Linked DNA regions of Cricetulus griseus. The main gene of each other region encodes a partner of the protein of the gene in region 2 in a complex. Links are inferred from orthologs where the notes say so. Each region holds a gene or a part of one and is shown on either strand. Other genes may lie near its edges.

Region 1 (3,786 bases), on a different chromosome or scaffold from region 2:
GCCAAAAGGCCTAAATGGGGGCATGCAGAAGGTCCTGGATGTATCTGAAGAAGACCTCTACTCAGTATGCAAGGTAGTGGTAATTTGACTTAATTGATGGCTCCCTATCCCTGAGGAATGAAAGCCCACCCTGGTCACCTGCTTTAGCGTCTTCACACTCTCATGGATGGGTCGAGGTAATCCAACCAAGGTATCTGTGTCCCTGTAAGAGGCCCAAAACACCAAACCATGATATTCTTAACAGAAGAGAAAACTACCCATACACTCTGGAATCATAGGGTCCACACACTTCAAGCATCTACCCCTGTTTCCTATACCTTCTTCTTTTTTTTTTTTTTTTTTTTTTTTTTGAGATAGGGTTTCTCCGTAGCTTTGGAGCCTGTCTTGGAACTCACTCTGTAGACCAGGCTGGCCTCAAACTCACAGAGATCCAACTGCCTCTGCCTTCCAAATGCTGGGACTAAAGGTGTGCACCACCACTGCCTAGCCTTATACCTTCTTATATAAGACTCCAGGTCCATCATCTTAATGTCACAAAAATAACAATGACACACAGAAGTATTTCTGAAAGTTAGATTTATATCATATAGTCTTTTAGTTATTCACTTGGCCTGCAGGTGACAGATTCCCACTTAAAGGAATATGTAGCCTAATGATACCTTTGACAATGAAATCCCTTCTAGCTTTATAAAGGCTAGTGAGGAAAATTCATGGCCTTCTAAGATATACTTTATATTCACTTTTGAATATCTAGTCACTTACTGCCCCAGGGTGAATCCAATGAACTTATTTCTGCTCATCTCCAAGAAGTGCTCAATGTCCTTCTGTCTGAGATGATGATGGTGAAGAAACCAATACCAGGGAGAGGAAGAAAACAAAACAAAACAACCTTGAGAAAGAGGAATTTTCAGAGCTCCTGATTCTTCGTTTTGGAAGGACTAGAGCAGTAGAAGAAGACAGAAAGAACTTCAAAACCAGGTGTTGTAATTACCACACCAGGTTAATGAACACTCAACATGTATGCTAGTCCACCTGGCTCTTCAGCGATTGGAATCTCAATGCTCAGGATCACTAGTGCCATTAAACCTACCTGACCTTTGGTGCCCAGGGAAGGCCCTTGGGAAAGGCTACTCGGTCAGTAGAGAGAGGTGTCTGTGAGGGTGGAGGTGGCACCAGAGGATCCTGCTCTAGTAGGTCTAACTCTCCATCCAAGGCTCGTTCTCCATCAGCTGCAGACTCTTCTTCTTCCTCTGTGGCTGGCTCCTCAGTCTTGAAGAGATCCCTTTCATTGTAGATGTCCAGGCTGTCTTGCTTGGTGAGGAGTTGCTGGCAGTGGTGAGAGAGAGGAAATTATAGAGCTTGTGGCACCCTTGTCTGAAGTCACTCTCTCTAGACTTCAGGAACCATAAGGTTGAAACCCATCTACTATGAGAACATTCCATCATCCATCTCAATCTTACAACTCACTGGACTCAGTCACTGGACAAGCAGCTCCCAGGAAAAATGACCATGGCCAGGAAACAGAGCACAGATAGCACCAGTGTGGGAGCTAGTTAGGTTCCAGAGGCACTGATGGATGCGCCACGTTCCCTGCCCTCCCAAGCATTTTCCTTCCTAATTATGCTCTGCTTAGGTGAACATACAATTAGTTTGCTTTCTGTCAGCATACACCAGCTGGCTGACTGAGGAAGAAGATGACAGAAGCTTGCTGCCAGGCAGAGGAATGTGAGTTTAGAATGTTAAATCTCATTGCATAAAGGGGAAAAAAAGACTGGACAGAAATAGGCCAAAAAGTTAATAGTCACTGCCTCTGGTTGTTAAGCTTGTGGGTGATTTTTCTCTCTTCATCACATTTTTACATCTGTTCCAAATTTTCTACAATGAGTAAGCATTACTTTATGAAACAAAAGAGAAAGGTTTTTTTTTTTTTTTTTTAATAAAGTCATTCTGCTTATAATTTAGACTGGATTGTGTGACCCTGTCACCTTTAATTGGTAAACTTGGGTAGGTCAGGCAGGTGAGTTCATGAAAAATGTGGTCAAGGCTCAATTATTTAGAACGTCTCAATAATATACACTGCCTAGAACCCTATCTAGCCACCTCACAAATGTAAGCTCGTGGTCCAAGGCCAGATGGAGTATGGTGGCTCAAAATAAAATTTCTTGCTGCCAAGAAAATGGTAAGTGATTCATGATAGGCATGTAGATTTGCTAGGTGCTCTTTTCAGGGTACCTACTCTCAGAATTCTAACATAACCCCTATTTAGGAGGCTAAGCAACTCTAGTCACTGAGGTCCAGACAATAATCCATGGTCAGGTGCCAAAGTGTAGATTCTAAGGATTCATGCTGGCTACAGGGCCAACCTGGGATGGCCATTTACTGCCCTTTCCTGCCACATCCGTAGCATCTGAGAACCCTGATTTTTGACCAGTCAATACCCCAACACTACCATATGCTTGATCCATACCCTTCGAGAACCACGGCGGCCCCGCAGCTTGGAGGGTGGAGGGGCCAGCTGAGACTCCCCCAGATCGAGAGTGTAAGAAGGTGGGGAGGCAGCACGCATACTCTTTACGACCTGGATACTGTCCTCAGCCAGTGGAGGCAGGCCCAACTCTGCGCGCTTCTGTATTTTGAGAGCCTGCAGATGCTCAAATCCACCAAGGGTAAACTAAAGAGTTAAAAAGAAAAAGGGAGGTTATCCAGTACCCACCAGTCAGCCCTGAGCATGTTGCATTTATATATATATATATATATTATATATATATATATATATATATGCACATGTGACAATAACTAAAGAAAAAGAGGCTATGAATTTCAGAGAGAGCAAGGAGCAAGGGGTGGGTACATGGAAGATGTTAAAGAGAGGAAAGGGAAAGGGGAAAATGGTGTAATTATATTGTAATTAAAAAAATTGTTATGCAGAAAAAGGAGGAAGAGAAGAGAGGGGTGAGAGAGGGCAGTCATAGAGAACAAAGGCAGAGAAACATGGACAGAAGGAAAGAACCACATCTTCCAATTTCCTCACACTGCCTTTTGTACAAGGAAGCAGAAAAACAAGAAGAAACAAACATTGTTACCACTTCAGTCTGAGGATCTCTAGTGTCAGAATAAAACACAGCATTATTTATTGACCCAGGGTTGGAAATAGCAGTAAATATTAGAGGAGGGTGGGCTCCACTGGAAAAAATTTAAAAATTAGGAGGCAATCCTCCCTTTGTTTTGTTTCTTGAGCAGGGTCTCAATGTGTAGCTCAAGCTGGCCTTAAACCTTCAGTCTTTATGCCTGTCTGACGAGTGCTAGTTTTACAACCATGTTCCACTATCCTGGGCGCAATCAATTTTAAGGAGCATATTCAGATATTACAACGTCCTAGAGTCACATAGCTTCCTCTGTAATCAAGAGGTGGTTTACCCTATGAGGCCCACTAAGAGGGTGTGTTGTTCCTCCAGCCCTATGGGATGGGAGCCAGAGGGAGACGATGGGATGAAGGATCGGATTAAATAATAAATAACAAATTATTAACTATATACTTGAAAGGACACCCATCCTCTACTGGAAGAAAAGGCATGCATTAATCTTAACATTTCATAGCTATAGAAACAGGTACAGAATTGTCCAAGGTTCATTGGTATGGACAGAGTCAGATTCCCAATGATCAGCTAGGGTTCTTTCTAAGAAACATCAGTTCTTTTAGGAAAAAGGTGCCATTGACATCTTCAACTCATAGAGTGACATCCAATGGATTCATCCAATAGAAACAGAAACCCAATGATACAGAAT
Region 2 (3,786 bases):
CCTTTAATCCCAGCACTCGGGAGACAGAGGCAGGCGGATCTCTGTGAGTTCGAGGCCAGCCTGGTCTACAAGAGCTAGTTCCAGGGCAGCCTCCAAAGCCACAGAGAAACCCTGTCTCGAAAAACCAAATTAAAAAAAAAAAAAAAAAAAAAAAAATCACCACCATGTAATAGGCACCCTTCTGGAAAGCCAGAGATCTCAAGAGCCAATCCATCGTGAGGTGTTTTAGTCTTAGGACTCATGACAGACCTCAGGAAGCTGACCTCGACTGCCTTCAGCTCACTCTCTGCAAACAAACCACTGCTAGCTTAAGTGGGCACTAATAACCCCGGAGGGCTGTGAAGCAAATGTAATGAGAGCCAGTCACATGTGCCTGTACTGTGTAACTGCTGGCTTGGCCCTGATTCTCACGGTGCAGAGACCATTTGGTAAATGCAGCCACCTCTAGATTGCTGGGCTTCTCCACCCCTCTTGTCCCCTGGGAGATGAGAGCCTGGGCCATATGCAAGCATTGCAGTGGTGAGCCAAGCAGAGGAGGGCACAGACACCCTAAGGGGCCTCTAACAGAGCAGCGAGGCAGTGTTGTCCCTTAACTTTGGAAGCCACAGATCCCCTTGATTGACTTTTTGATCTTTTTCTCTTCTTCTTTTTCTTTTTCCTTTAGGCCAGTGTCAGCTGGCTTCAGTTTTTTAAGTTGCAGAAGTAATAAATGCTCAGGTGTAGAAGTAAGTAGAACGATACACAGCGGTAGAGCGCTTGCCTCGCATGCTCAAGGCCCTGGGGCCCATCCCCAGCGCTGCAGGAAAAACAGTGTACTCTTGTGTTCTGGATCCTCCCCTGCAGAGGTCACTGTTGCTCAGTTTATGTCTGTCTTCTAGGCGTCCGGGAAGCAAGCACCAGTGTGTGTGTGTGTGTGTGTGTGTGTGTGTGTGTGTGTGTGTGTGTGTGATGTGTGTGTGTGTGTGTGTGTGTGTGTGTGTGTGTGTGTGTGTGATGTGTGTGTGTGTGTGTGTGTGTGTGTGTGTGTGTGTGTGTGTGTGTGTGTGTGTGTGTGTGTGTGTGTGTGTGATGTGTGTGTGTGTGTGTGTGTGTGTGTGTGTGTGTGTGTGTGTGTGTGTGTGTGTGTGTGTGTGTGTGTGTGTGTGTGTGTGTGTGTGTGTGTGTGTGTGATGTGTGTGTGTGTGTGTGTGTGTGTGTGTGTGTGTGTGTGTGTGTGTGTGTGTGTGTGTGTGTGTGTGTGTGTGTGTGTTGTGTGTGTGTGTGTGTGTGTGTGTGATGTGTGTGTGTGTGTGATGTGTGTGTGTGTGTGTGTGTGTGTGTGTGTGTGTGTGTGTGTGTGTGTGTGTGTGTGTGGTGTGTGTGTGTGTGTGTGTGTGTGTGTGTGTGTGTGTGTGTGTGTGTGTGTGTGTGTGTGTGTGTGTGTGTGTGTGTGTGTGTGTGTGTGTGAGTGTGTGTGTGTGTGTGTGTGTGTGTGTGTGTGTGAGTGTGTGAGTGTGAGTGTGTGTGTGTGTGTGTGTGTGTGTGTGTGTGTCTGTGTGTGTGTGTGTGTGAGTGTGAGTGTGTGTGTGTGTGTGTGTGTGTGTGATGAAAACATATGCACACCTTCACACTCTTCCATTTTTATAAAACCTGGAATCCCATGGAACATGGAACATACACCATGTTCGCTGTGCTGCTGATCACAGCCATCTTCCGTGGCGCTCTGCCTTCGTCACCTTCCGCCTAGCGTCCGTCAATGGACATCTGGCTTTTCCTGCACGTGGGCTCTCCCCTACATGTCGGGGACACCGTGTGCCATAGCAGCATGCATGGGGACCAGGGCTTCCATTGAGAAGTATCAGAAGCCAAACTGCTGCTCAGGGGTTGCTTCTGAAAAATTGCCGTATGCTCTTTGGTGGCCCTTCAGAAGGCTGCTGGGTTCTGCATGGCCCCAGCGGCCAGAGTAGCTTAATTCATGTGTAGGCTGACCTGACTCTGCCCCCACAGATACCTGGAAGAGGTGGGCTACACAGATACCATCCTGGACATGAGGTCCAAGCGTGTGCGTTCCCTTCTGGGTCGCTCCGTGGAGCTCAATGGGGCCACTGAGCCTATCGAGGGGCCACCCAGGGCTTCACCAGGCCCCGGAGGACTTAGCGGTGGCGAGTCTCTGCTGGTAAAACAGATCGAGGAACAGATCAAGAGGTGAGCCCCCGAGCAGGCATGATGTTCTTCCTCCCTGCAGCTGTTCTGCCGGCCCTGCTAGATTGTGTGGTAGGCTCCACCATTGCTAGGCTTCCCCTGTAGGTTGTCACACGGCCTTTGTTCCTAGCTGAGGATAGCCCTCGGGTGGTTTGATTGCAGCGGGAAACAGGTGAGGAGGCATATCTACTCTTGTCTTGGGGCTCATTTTGTTCATCTTCCCATGGGTAGTTGGTATTGTCAGAAGCAGTAGCGTCATCCTTAGGTGACGTTGAGTGCTATGAAGAATGTGAAGAGAGTGACAGGAAATTGCCAGGTACTGTGGCACACCCCTGTGGCCCCAGCTACTCAGGAGGCAGAGGCAGGAGATTGCTTGAGCCCAGGGGTTGGAGACCAGCCTGGCCAGGAGAAAAAATAAAAAAAAAAGTAACAGGAGTAGTAGTACTCTTGGTGGCTGGAAGATAGGACTACTTTGTGGGGGTAGCATTCTGCCAGAGAATGTCAGGAAAGAATGCTGTCTAGGCAAGGGAAGGGTCGGATTCTAAGACAGAAAGGACTTGATATGTGTGGAAAGCAGGAGACCTGTGGCATGACTGTTGCAGTAAACACAGAGTCTTGTGGCCTGTGGTCTGTGGTAAGGCCAGATCTCGGGAGGCAGATCACGAAGTGCCTACCAGGCCACGATAAACAGGGGATGCTTACCCACAGGGCTGTGGGAAGCCAGTGGTTTCCAGCAGGGGTATATCATCTGACGTCTTAGTCTGCTTTGAGGAGAGATTGCGGAAGCAGGGAGGCCAGGTGGGGGCTGACTGTAGGGTCTAGGCCAGGGCTGATGGACCTTAGCAATGGACGGGTAAGAACTAGGCCTTGTAAAGGACTTGGGGAAAGGAAAGAAGAGGGAGGGTTGTCTGAGGAATGGAGTGGCACCTTCTGAAGTCAGGATCCAGGTGGGGAGTGGCAGGAGTTGATGCAGTTTTGCAGCTGTGTTGAGGTTAAGTTGCCATATGTCCTACATCAAGAGGCCACGTGTAGCTTGGAGCCCTAAACATCTCTCTAGTTTAAGGGAACTGATGTTTGGGGAGGGATCCCACTGTGGGCCCCGAGGGCTCCTCAGTCTTGAGATTGACAAGGAAAGGTGGAGGAGGAAGCAGCAGCCAGAGAGGAGGCAGAGGTGGGTGTGGACGGAGCAAGTCCTCAAAGGACAGTATTCTGGAGTGGCCAGAGAGCGTGCTCTGTATTGATCTCCGTAGAAAGTGTAGCTGTGTCCTGGCAGTTGACGGTTCTGGTGTGCCAGTAGACCGCGGGAGGGAGGGAGGGTGGGTGTCCCTAAGGAGGAATGCTGCCTGTGTGATGGGGCAAGGCTCTCCCATGTCCATGTTAGTTGACAGCGAAGAGTTGGAGGTGACCGAGTCTTGCAGGGCGGCCGCTGCTCCTGGGCTGATTAGGGCAGAGGCACCGGGCAGTGACTTCTTCTTACCCAGCTCATATTTGACTTGGTCAGATGTGGGCAGGCATGTTCAGGGGATGCTCTGTCACCATGGCTGGAATTCAGTGGGCGGGAAGCAGACCTTAGGTCTGTACAAAGGTCCCAGGAATGATGGTGCA
Region 3 (3,309 bases), on a different chromosome or scaffold from region 2:
TGGGTACTCCATTTGATTCAAGAACAGAGCATTTCTCAGCTCTAACTGATCATCCAAATACTATGTGCATAGCGCTATATTGTTAATACTGCCATTCCCCTATGCCTGAATCACGAACCCTGTAGAATGCCTTGTGTTTTTAAAGTTCCATCAAGAAGTTTTCATGGGCAGTTAAGGTTAACAAGCCTTAAACTGGGCACAAACTACATACTGAGATATTTTATTCATTTCAAATATTGGGCAATTTCTCATAAATGCAGGTGCCTGAGAATATTGTGACGACATAGGGTGCTACCTCTGTGGAGGTCTACATACCAAAAGACTAAATCCTGGTTCAGCCCTTGAATTCTTCTACTCAAGTTAAGATGAGCACACAGAAGCAGAAATACTGGCATTTTTCAAAAAGACTAACTTGTCCATAGGGTAAAAACCATACATAAGTAAATAGTTGTCACAGTTCACGGATCAGTCTGATCAATTTGGTCTGGGACCAGGAAGTAGGAAGGGCTGTGACAGCAGTTCTCCAAAGGGTTTTGCAAGTTGTAATCACTGTATGAGAAAATAGCTCCTTATTGCTTCTCATGAACTAATAGAACACCTTTAATCAAATCGTATTCCAAAATTTTGTAATATACTCAAGTATCCACTAGGGGTTAGACCGAGACCATTTAAAAGCAGAGCTTTTCTCTTCCAAAGTGTGTTTCCAAGCTCATTGTATTCCATGAACCATCAAGAAACTTCACAGTGGCTGAAATGAGCCCTCACGGTGATTTATAACTTAGTTGAAAGCAAGCACACTAGGTCACTGCGAAAGGCAGAGCATATGAAAACAGGCTGCCAACATAAAAATAACAGTAACTTGTACATACGAGTCAGAGCCCTCGGAGTCCGATTCGTCATCACTGTGTCCTTCTGCCTTCCATCTCTTAAATCGATCGATCAGTTCGGTCAGATAAGAAGTCTTCTTTGAATTTTTTACAATGAACTTATGTTTCAAAAGTTCTTTTGCTGTAGGACGCTAAGGCACAGACACACACAAAGAAAAGGACTCATGACTATTTTGAGGATCTTTTGGGGAGAGACAGGTAGTAAAACACCATTTGAATTATTACACTGAAATCTACAAAACTGGATCTATGAACAGGAGGACAATTAAAATGTAATAGGAAAACTGACCATTTTATTTCTTCAAGTGGGTCAAGGTAGCCAATTGAAATTGGTTGTTTTAGCAGCCTGATTTGTTAAAGCACAGTAGACAGATGCTAGGATACCTCACCAGCATGCCACTCAACAAAGCTTTCTCAGCAATAGCGGGACTTAGAAAGTAACCATCTAAAAATGTCAAAACAACATTTAAGACACTTTATTACACTGACTGTAATTTTTGAAAAATCATGCAAATGAGCAAGATTGCTGTAATTTTGTTATTATCTGCACATCTTATGAATCCCTAATTTTGTCATTATCTGACCACATCTTAGTATATGCTTTTCTATCAAACACTAATTCTTATTGTACATGAATGCAAACAGCAAGTGCTGTAGGGAATATGTCCCCTTCAGTATTTCATTAATATTATAATGTTTACTGTCAACATAAAATGGTTACATCCAGCTTAGAAAGGTGCTCATGTATATTTAATCACCAGGAGTGAAAAGCAGCTTTATTTTAACAACACTAAGACATGTAATAAATTTAGTCAATTCCCTCACTAATGGCACATGCCTACTTTACTAAGTAAGTAATAGAAAGCTAATGAATTATTTCCCCAAACTTTTTTCTTGAAATAGAATATTATCAGGTAGCTGGGAACTAAGAAGATGATGTCAGGGAGGAAAAAACAAGACCAAGAATCTGGTTAAGAACAGAGTGGAATTAGCAATACAGAAGGAGAAACCAGCTTCGTGGGTGGATCACAGATGTTTTTCACATTGTATTCTCCATATAGGAAACACCACCTTTGTTAGAAGTAGATAGAACAATTGGAAACCACCAGTGGTAATAACAGCATATACTCACAAATGATGGATCTTTATTCAGGCAAGCATCAATGAATTCCTTAAAAGACTTAGTAAAGTCTCCAACAAGAGTTGGAGGGTTGTTTTTTGGAATAAGAAACAGAACTCTCATTGGGTGCATGTCAGAATTCGGAGGCTCTCCCTTGGCAAGTTCAATAGCAGTAATTCCCAAAGACCAAATGTCAGCCTAAAGCAGAAACAATAACACAAACTTTTTATCACATTGACATATCAAGAAATGTGGTGAATTATAATTTTAGTTAATGGAATTCATGAATTAACACTTTAAATCTCATATTTTGTACAGGCACAACACTAATTGAGTGCTAAATAAACCAGATGAAAGTCCTTGCCTTGAAGAGGCTTACATTCTAATAAGAGGGAAAGATAAATGAGTAACATGATGTCATATGGAACTAAGTTCTGTGAAGACACAAAAAGCAGAATAAGGGAATATCGAGCAAAGCAAAGAAAGGAGCTACATGTTTATGTGGGATGGTTAGGGATGTTTAGAGAGAGCTCACTGGGAGCTAGGCTATTCCAGACAAAGGGGAAAGCAAGAGAAAACTCCTGAGGTCAAAATGTACTTGTGTTTGAGGAACAATGAGGCCATAATAGCTGAGAGTACAGATGACAGTGGTAGAAGACAAGGGTGGATAGACATCAAATGGCCAGATCATCAGTGGCCATATATGTGACTATGAGGACTCTAGATTTTATTCCAAGTGGGTTGAAAAACCATTGAAATAAATAGGGCTCAAATATTACCAACACCAAAGGGATTTACGATTAAGAAACAAAATACGACATAATTTCTTTTAGAAGCACTTGTGAAGCAAGGAAAAATTAAAAAGCTTATTGACAAGGCCATATCCAATTAATTCCATCTGCATGTGGAATACTTTACTTTAGAGTCGTAAGCTGACTGTTGAATAACTTCAGGAGCCATCCAAAATGGAGTTCCCACAAAGGTGTTTCTTTTAATTTGTGTATCTGTCAGCTGGCCAGCAACTCCAAAGTCAGCAAGCTTAACATCACCTTGCTCAGAAAGCAAGACATTGGCAGCTAGGGGGCAAAGAAAAACAAAGTGAGTATCTCTCAGCTTCCCCAAAATGTATCTGTTTTTCTCAGGTTTCTATTTGACTTTTGTATACCTTTAATGTCTCGGTGAATTTTCTTTTCAGAATGAAGATAGTCCAGACCTTTCAAAATCTCCTTGAGCATGGTGGCAATCTGGAATTCATCAAATGGACCAGCACGTAGCTTAAGGAGAAAACACACGTACACTCAC
Region 4 (3,786 bases), on a different chromosome or scaffold from region 2:
CCAATAGGAAAGGGTCCTAGCTGGGCAAGGTAGTAAATGCCTATAAGCCCAGCACTTAGGAGATCAGAAGTTCAAGGTCAGATTGGGCAAGGAGACCAAGTGTTTTTCAAAGGGGGGGAAGGGATAAAGAGATGGCTTGGCAGTAAGAGCACTTGATGCTCTTTCAATTCCCAACACCAGCAGCATGCGGCTCCTGTTCCGGGGACATCCACCAACCTCTTCTGGCCTCCTCAGGCACGCACGTGTACACGCGCACGCACGCGACACATATAGGTAAAAATAATAATAAATTAATATTTTTAAAAAGAAGGGCCAAGCCAAGCATGGTGGCACATGCCTTTAATCCCAGCACTCGAGTGGCAGGTGGCTGAGTTCCAGGACAAACAACTACACAATGAGACCCTGTCTTAAAAACAAAATAACACACACACAAAACCAAACAAAAAAAGGAAGCATACACCTTAATTCCAGCACTTAGAGACATAGGCAGATCTTTTGTGAGTTCAAGGCCAGGCTGGTCTGCAGAGACCCTGTCCAGAGGAAGGGGCAGGAGAAAAGGTCTTACTGACCACCCAGCTACCATACCTCTGGTACAGGCACTTGGTGGACAGACCAAGTGCCCAGAGCAGTCACTAAGTCTTTTTCAATAGCCCAAGTGCCCTCCTGGCAGACCTCCACAGTACTGCCAGCAGGGACCCCTTAGACTGTACCTAACAGCACCCACAGATAAGACAGCTGGGTCACTATGACCACTTTAGAGCCACCTGACTCTTGTAGATTGTACTTCTCAAAAGAACAGACTTTTTTGTGAAGCTGAGCTTTGGGGTAAAGGGGAGCCTCTTTGCCCTTCCAGAGGGATCCCCATGTGCCCAGCAGTGCCTTTCTCTGCTCTCCTCTACCTTGGGTACATAGTAACTCCTCTGGAAACAGGACAAACCCTGGCACAGAGCCTTCAGTGCCCCCCCACTCCCATAGATGCCCCCTCTCCTGGCAGCACCTTCAGGTAGGAGCCGAAGTAGCGGGTGATGTAAGGGCTGTCACACTGGCTGAGCACAGTGATCTCCTGCTGGATGTCCTCAATCTCATCCTCTGCCTCTTCCAGGTCAATGATCTTGATGGCCACCACCTCCTTGGTTTGGTTGTCGATGCCTTTGTACACCTCCCCAAACGAGCCCTTGCCAATGCGGTCAAGCTTGGTGAAGAGTTCCTCTGGGTCCACACGAGAATTCTACATAAGCCAGAAGGGACAGAATGCTGAGACAACACCCACTAGAGGAAATACTAGAAGAGGGCTGACTGCTGACTGAGGGTCTGGGCCACTGCAAGGAGCTAAAGAGAACTCACCTCAATCCTTTTCTGGCTTCTTTATCCCTTGTCCAGAAAACCTAAATGTAACTCTCCACTCTCCAAGTGACACTATATTCAATAGACTTGATACAGTGAATCAAAGTATCTGTAGACTCAACTCAAATGTATATTTAGAATCAAATGTATTAGCAATACCACATCTCAAAGTGCCTTCTTCAGTTGTCTAACAGAGAGCCAGGCCAAGACCTATCAGGAATGACAGGTAGGAGTATGTGCGTGCCAGAGGGTACTGTAAAACTCATTTTACTATAAATCTAAAACTGTTCTAAAAAAAAAAAACAACAAAGTAATGGACTGGAAAGATGGCTTGGTGGCCAAGAGCACACACTGGTCTTACAGTGTGTGCTCACTGCTACAACCTTAGCTCCAGGGGATCTGAGGTCTCTGGCCTTGGAGAACACCTGCACTCACATGTGCATAGCCCCAGTAATTTAAAAGTAAAATTCATCCAGGCATGGCGCATGCCTTTAGTCACAGCACTCAGGAGGCAGAGGCAGGCAGATCTCTGAGTTCAAGACCAGCCTGATTTACAGAGCTAGTTCCAGAATTCCAGATAGTCAGAACTGTTAAACAAAGAAACTCTGTCTCAAAAAATCAAAAACAAAACGAGAGATTAAAATTTAGCAAAGCTAACTTATGTTTTCCATACTTAAAGTGCCTCTCTATTCTCAAATTAGTCCTCTAGCCAGCTACATTCTCATACCAGTACTGAGTTGAACACTTTCTCAGATGTTTAATTCTAGATACTAAACACAGAAGCATTTGTACCTAATATAAGTCTCTGGGAGTTACTTGGGACCTTAATGTGGTGGCGGGCGGAACTCAGATGGCCTGGTGGAAAGCGTCCACATGGCAGCAGGACTCAGGCAGCTGGGCGTAAAGATTTATCATTACAAGCTACCCTAGACAGCCCTCAGATTTAACTAGGATCTTATCATTGCTGAACCGATCATGTTGAAGATGAGCCAGGATGGCAAAGGTGTGTGCTCTGTCCAAACCACGCTAGGTTTTGAATCAGGGCTGCCTCCAGAGAGGAAAGAAGCAGAAGAGCCTCTCCCAGGGCCACCACTGAATGTCCCTACTGTGCTACCTGGCAGACTGGAAAAGAACATGTTCTCCATACCACTGGCCACGCTGGCACAAGACCTCAAAGGGGAATGCTGAGTCTCATCCAGGTTTTCAACCATGCTAAGTTTCACCTCCATTAGGAGATGGTCACCCCAAAAGGATGTCCCCCAAACAGTATTTTGGTGCCTGTTAAAAGGAACCCAAATCAGGCGGGTAAGATGGTTCTTCTGGTAGAGGCACTTGCTACCAAGACTAACAACCTGAGTTTGGTTCCCTAGACCACATGGTGGAAGAGAACTGACTCCCAAAGCTGTCCAGTGACAACACACATGCCATGGTACACACACGGAGAGGTGTTGTTTTGTTTTTAAGGGGGGGACCATGGAAATAACTCAGTGGCAGAGCACTTGCCTAGCATGCCCAAGGCCTGGAATTCAGCTCCCAAATGGGGGGGTGGGAGGCCGAGACACAAAAAGGCAAAACCACACTTATTTACAACTGTCTAAGTACTGATGCGCAAATCCCTCTGCTTAGGGAAGAGCCTGTCCTAGGTGTTTACCATGTTTCTAAGAAGCCTGTCCTCCAAAACTGACATAGCTGCCTGATTCCCTGAAGCCTAACTGCCCCAGCTTCTTCTCTGCAAGCAAAGCAACTGGTTTCAGACCCCATCTGAGACAAAATTGCCAACTAGCTACATTCTTAAGGTTTTTAACCGTGAAAGAAGTAAAGGGAAGAGACAGAGGACCACACTCCCCAGCCCTCGACAAGCCAAGAACTGCAGAACAAGATGAGGTGAGCAGAGAGAAGTTCGGGGAAGAACTCCAGGCACAAGGGCAGTGTCTTAACACAGAAGTCACCTAACCCCTCTAAGCAAAGCTGCCTCCAAGAGGCCCGAGTGTGTGCCACAGTGCCATGCCTGGCCCAGAGCAGGCACTCTGAGCAGACTAGCTGTGGTGTCCGTATGTGCTCTGGTTTGGCCAGGGGGCTAGAGAGATGGCTCGGTAGTTAAGAGCACATGGGTTTGGTTCCCAACAGCCCACGTGATCTCAAGCACTTCCCACATGTGATGCACACATGCATACATGCATATACTCACACATACACGTAAAGTAAATAAACCTATTTTTTTTTTTAAAGAAGATGACGACAACAAAAAAGAAAAAGGAAGGAAGGAAAAGAAAAAGACCAAGACCAGATGGCTCAGTGGGTAAAAGCACTTGTCACCAAACCTAACAACCTGGGTTTGATCCCTGGACCACATGGAAGGAGGAAACCAATTTCCATAAGTGGTCTTCTAATATTTACACTGTGGTACATACATACCTACCCATCCAAAAATAAATGTAATCA
Region 5 (4,553 bases), on a different chromosome or scaffold from region 2:
AGAACATTTGACAGCACTCCTGGCCCTAAAGGCAGTGTGTCTGAGTTTTACCCCAGCCCATAACCATCAGGAGTGCGGCTTTGATGACCTTCATAGTAGCTGCCAGTGAATCCAGAGTTGCATGTAGTTGACCTTGATAGCACTTTCTGCAGTGAGGAGAGGGAATGGATTTGCGCCTTCAGACTCACTTGTGTGTGGAGTTGTGCAGCGTTGTTCTTGCATGGAAGAGTCAGGTGCGGGTCCTCTCTTGCCCTATATGTACATAATGTTCATAGAGGCCCAAGATAGGTGTCCCAGAGTGACTGAGCAGCCACCAAGCTCATGCCTGATCCCTTGACAGCCTGACGTGGTGGTGTCGGTGATGGCATCAGGGCCCACCCAGGTTTGTGCACACACATGTCTCATTGCTCTTGTATACATTTTCAGCTGAAGGAGAAGAGCCAGGCATGTGGAGGAAACTTGGGGTCAATAGAAGAGCTCCGAGGAGCCATCTATTTGGCAGAAGAGGCTTGCCCTGGGATCTCTGACACCATGGTGGCTCAGCTTGTGCAGCGGCTGCAGAGGTAACTGGCCTTGGGCTGGAGCGGGTTTGTAGGAGGGGAGCCTGGTGGTGCGGCATGGCTTCCTGGACTAGGAAGCTGCCACAGGCCGCAGCTTGGCATATCTCTTGGGTGCTTCATTCTTGACTGTTCCTGTTGTCCCCCAGACCAGGGGCTTACAGCAAAACCTATTGAAGGCTTATTCTGAAGTGTACAAATGAAAGAAATGAATCTGGGAAAGACCACAGAGCCTTGCATTTATAGCTCTTGCCAGAGAAATGCAAGATGCCTTAAAAGACCTCTGTGTCCGTGGTCTTACAAGCAGAGAGACAGAGCCTCAGTCACAATGCTTACTGGGAGCTGGGTTTGAAGCCAGAGGCTTTGGTGTGCCATGCTTAGAGCTGTGCTTGTAGGTCTGTGCTGTGGCTCGGTGCCTCCCACTCTTGAGGCCATTGAAGGAGAGTGGTCTCTTTAAGATTGCCCCAGATTTGATTCTAAAGGCAGCAGCTTGTTACAGAAATAAAGGAAAAATAAGCCTGAAACCCATTCTGTGGGCTCACCTGGCAGGTCTCTGTGAGTTCTTTAACTTGGGATCATTCCATATCCTCCTTGGTGGCATAAGTGTCACTTTTCTGTGATGTGTGTGCGTTTGCTGGTATACCTGTGTGGGCAGAGGTATGCCTCTCAGGAGCTGATTTCTCTCCTGTCACTTTTTAAATCCAGGGATCTAATTCAGTTTATCAGGTGTGTCTATAAACACCTCCTACCTGCTGAGTGCCTTCTGAGTGAGTGAGTGTGAGTGTGTGTGTGTGTGCGCGTGCGCGAGAGCGCGTGTTTGAATTTTTGTGGTGCCAGGACTTTATCCTTTCATCTATAGCATTCTAGGCAGTATTCTGCCATTGAGCTGTAGTCCCAGCCTTCTCACACATGGAATCTCAAATTTGCTAGAAACTACCAAAATAGTAAAGAGGAAAAACAATTTTAATAAGTTTGATATTTTCCTCTGCCAGTTTATAATCATTATAAATAATTACCTATTGAGATATTTTGCATTGTTTTCTTTGGTGTTAAACCTTTGAAATCTGCTTTGAATTACATACGGTTACATCTTCTTCAATTCAAACTTAGATTTCAAGCAGACGCTCATGGCCTTTGGGCTAAGTAGACCCTCCTAAGTTATCAGATAGACAATTGTCTCCATCAACATGGATAAGGCTTTCCATTTTCGTCCTTGGCGTTCTTGGAGCCCCACCAGCCATAGGGTGATGCTCAACCAGAGGTTGTCACGTAGGCTTCTTCCTGGTTTGTTGCCACATGAGTGGTTTGGGCAGTCTCTTCAGAAGTGACTTCTGTCTGAAGTATTTTCAGGGCTTTTGGATCCTCCACTCACAGGAGGAGAAACTTAACCCATGGCAAGTCATTTGTAGCTCTTGGTGCTCCAGGGCACTGCTCAGAGCATCTGTGAACCTATTTGAGTGCTCAGTGTGTTTAAAGGGAACTCTGGGAGGCATGTTGGCAATGAGTTTTCTTAAATATGTCCTTGGCCATCTTCCTGGCCCTGTGATTTGATGTCAGTTTTGAGTGATTAAAAAATCTTGGCCATTATACCATTTAGCATTCAAAAGCAAGACAATGTTTTTGTTTTTAAACAAGTGACATGGGCCCTACGGTTGTGACCCGGTTATTACCATCTCTCCTGTCTTTTAATATATTGCCTTCTGATGTCACATATGCAAGGTGTTCATGTGGACACACAGACCGTCTTCTGGGCCACATTGTGGCTTGCCTGGCCAGCCTCCATATTGCTGCCCCAAAGAATTGCTGAGTGTAGACTCAAACTAACCATGGGCCTGTGTCCCTGAGCTTGGTTACCACCAGTTTTCAATAGATTTTGGGCTGGAGAGGACTCTGTGGGTGAGGGGCTTCCTTCCAGCAGAAGACCTGGGTGTAGGCCCAACACCACACAAAAAGGCTTTCTGTCCCAGCATGGGGGAGGGGTGTTGGCCAGAGATACAGGTAGATTCTGGAGGCTTGCTGGCCAACCAGCCTAGACAGAATGGCTAGCTCCAACCCAGTAGGAGATGCTGTGTGGAGAAGTAAGATGGAGAACACTGGAGGGGGGATCCCAGAGATGGTCTCTTGACTCCGCAAGAGCTTGCATGGCTGTGCATCCCCCCCCCCACACACACACAAAGCAGGATGATCCTAGGTGTCTTTTGCTGTTTTAATGACACTCTTCTCCAGGGAGACTGAACTTAAGGCTTGCCTTTTATCTACTATGAGTTTTTGTGTTAGAACCAGAATTTTCTTTGTCATTATAAACTCTTGTATAATAGATCTGGTAACCTGCCGGTTCCACTGGTGATTTTTTAAAAGACTTTGAAATTTCTGTAAAGAATGTAGAGTTTTGGTTTGGTGTCAGCAGTTTTGTTCAGGTGTGAGAAATAATGTATACTGATTTCTCTCTTTGCTTTCTCCTTAGATACTCTCTGAGTGGTGGAGGAACTTCAGCTCACTGAGATGCCTTTGGCATCGGGTTTGGTTTTTCCTTTCTTCTTCATCTTCCTCCTTATTAAAAGTCAATGAGCGCCTTTGCTGTCTCTGAGAAGAGGTGTCACGGAGGGGCCCCGCCCTCCTGTAGCCGCCAGCACCTGTCCAGGGACACGGTCCTCATCGTGCTGCAGCCAGTGGAGTCTTTCAGATGGGGTGGGGAGGGTCTACTCCTTCAAGCAATTATTTTATTTTTTTATCGTTTTTAATTTTAATCATAGTGCACATATTCAAAGAAAAATTATCTTTAACAAAAACCCTGAAATGTATATTTGGGTTGTGACAAGGCAGTTGAAGACATGCAACCTCAGGTACCTGCTTCATGTTGATAGCTCCTGCCCCGGGAGACTGAGTCGCTCTGGTGGATCATGTACAGACTTGTATATAGCGTCATTTTTACGGAAATTTTGGCGTGCGTAAGGGATCACTGTGTACACATCGGCCAAGTGCTTCTGTAGATAATCTATCTCTGTGGAGTAAATATTTGACAGGCCAGAACTTGAGTCTATTGCCTTGCCTTTATTACATGTAAATTTTGAACTCCGTGACCAGTGATTTGGATTTTATTTTGTATTTACAGGGTCTGTCATGAATAATAATTAGCACCCTCCCAACCCCCACGGAACACTCCTGTTTGTACCTCAAAAACATGCAAATTCTCCCTCACTTTCCCTTTGCCCCCTTTGGTACTCTTGGAAGTTTTTCTTTCTCATCGATGGTACTGTTTTCATTGTGTTTTCAGTTGGGACATATCTTTTTTCACAGAGCTTTACATTACTCTGAGTTCCTCCCGGATGAAGCACCCTCATCTAGTCTTTGTTGAGTTGTGCCTTTGTGTCTGCACCAGCTGTACCGTCCTGTCCACACCTTTCCGTTGAACCTGGTCGTAGAATCTGCATATCATTTTCCCATCATGAAAGTGTCTGAATGCTTACACCAATAAATTTTATAACTCACTCATTTTGCATACTGTTCTTAAAAAACATGGCTCTGCAGAGGGGTCGGGGCACTTGCTCTGCACACGCGTATGGTTGGGTAAGCGTATGTGTGGAGACTCTGGGGAAAGGGCCCAGATGTCAAACAGCCAAACGTCCACGTTAGTGTCCTATGCGACTGTGTGGCTGGTCACTGGGATATGGCCAGTTCGGGTTTGCGGAGCTGCTGATGCTCTTGCCGAGGACTTGGATGGGTGGGTTCAGTTCTCGTCAAGGAGCTGGTCCTGACGCTATCAGCCAGGCTATCTGCTTGTGTACTACAGAGCGTTGCTTGGCAGGGTGGGAATTCTTGGGTTCTCAGAGCAGGTCTTACTCAGATCTCTGTAGTGTTTCCATTTGCTCATGCTGATTTTGTCCTCTTCTTGGAGTGCTGGGTCTCAGGGAACATAGTTTTTGGAGCAGGAACTTTGGGTGAACTTGGGGATGTCTGCTTGGCCTTGTGGGTGTGTGGTAGCCTCGATGTTACAGG

The links.
Region 1: Strn4 (region 2) and Strip2 share a complex: the UniProt entries of both Homo sapiens proteins name them as parts of the core of STRIPAK complex. The link is inferred for Cricetulus griseus from reciprocal best matches to the Homo sapiens genes STRN4 and STRIP2.
Region 3: Strn4 (region 2) and Stk26 share a complex: the UniProt entries of both Homo sapiens proteins name them as parts of the core of STRIPAK complex. The link is inferred for Cricetulus griseus from reciprocal best matches to the Homo sapiens genes STRN4 and STK26.
Region 4: Strn4 (region 2) and Stk25 share a complex: the UniProt entries of both Homo sapiens proteins name them as parts of the core of STRIPAK complex. The link is inferred for Cricetulus griseus from reciprocal best matches to the Homo sapiens genes STRN4 and STK25.
Region 5: Strn4 (region 2) and Stk24 share a complex: the UniProt entries of both Homo sapiens proteins name them as parts of the core of STRIPAK complex. The link is inferred for Cricetulus griseus from reciprocal best matches to the Homo sapiens genes STRN4 and STK24.

Annotation. Positions count from the first base shown.
Region 1 is NW_023276806.1:197,887,561-197,891,346, forward strand, and holds part of Strip2 (striatin-interacting protein 2), read right to left. Parts: intron 2,672-3,786; coding exon 2,468-2,671; intron 1,327-2,467; coding exon 1,091-1,326; intron 829-1,090; coding exon 763-828; intron 203-762; coding exon 139-202; intron 1-138. UniProt on the Homo sapiens protein: Plays a role in the regulation of cell morphology and cytoskeletal organization. Required in the control of cell shape. Calmodulin-binding scaffolding protein which is the center of the striatin-interacting phosphatase and kinase (STRIPAK) complexes.
Region 2 is NC_048602.1:11,454,519-11,458,304, forward strand, and holds part of Strn4 (striatin-4), read left to right. Parts: intron 1-1,986; coding exon 1,987-2,184; intron 2,185-3,786. UniProt on the Homo sapiens protein: Calmodulin-binding scaffolding protein which is the center of the striatin-interacting phosphatase and kinase (STRIPAK) complexes.
Region 3 is NC_048604.1:19,058,754-19,062,062, forward strand, and holds part of Stk26 (serine/threonine-protein kinase 26), read right to left. Parts: intron 3,282-3,309; coding exon 3,173-3,281; intron 3,084-3,172; coding exon 2,926-3,083; intron 2,206-2,925; coding exon 2,020-2,205; intron 1,019-2,019; coding exon 870-1,018; intron 1-869. UniProt on the Homo sapiens protein: Serine/threonine-protein kinase that acts as a mediator of cell growth. Modulates apoptosis. In association with STK24 negatively regulates Golgi reorientation in polarized cell migration upon RHO activation.
Region 4 is NC_048595.1:445,072,921-445,076,706, forward strand, and holds part of Stk25 (serine/threonine-protein kinase 25), read right to left. Parts: intron 1,229-3,786; coding exon 998-1,228; intron 1-997. UniProt on the Homo sapiens protein: Oxidant stress-activated serine/threonine kinase that may play a role in the response to environmental stress.
Region 5 is NW_023276807.1:271,163,805-271,168,357, reverse strand, and holds the end of Stk24 (serine/threonine-protein kinase 24), read left to right. Parts: intron 1-426; coding exon 427-563; intron 564-3,021; coding exon 3,022-3,058; 3' UTR 3,059-4,049; downstream 4,050-4,553. UniProt on the Homo sapiens protein: Serine/threonine-protein kinase that acts on both serine and threonine residues and promotes apoptosis in response to stress stimuli and caspase activation.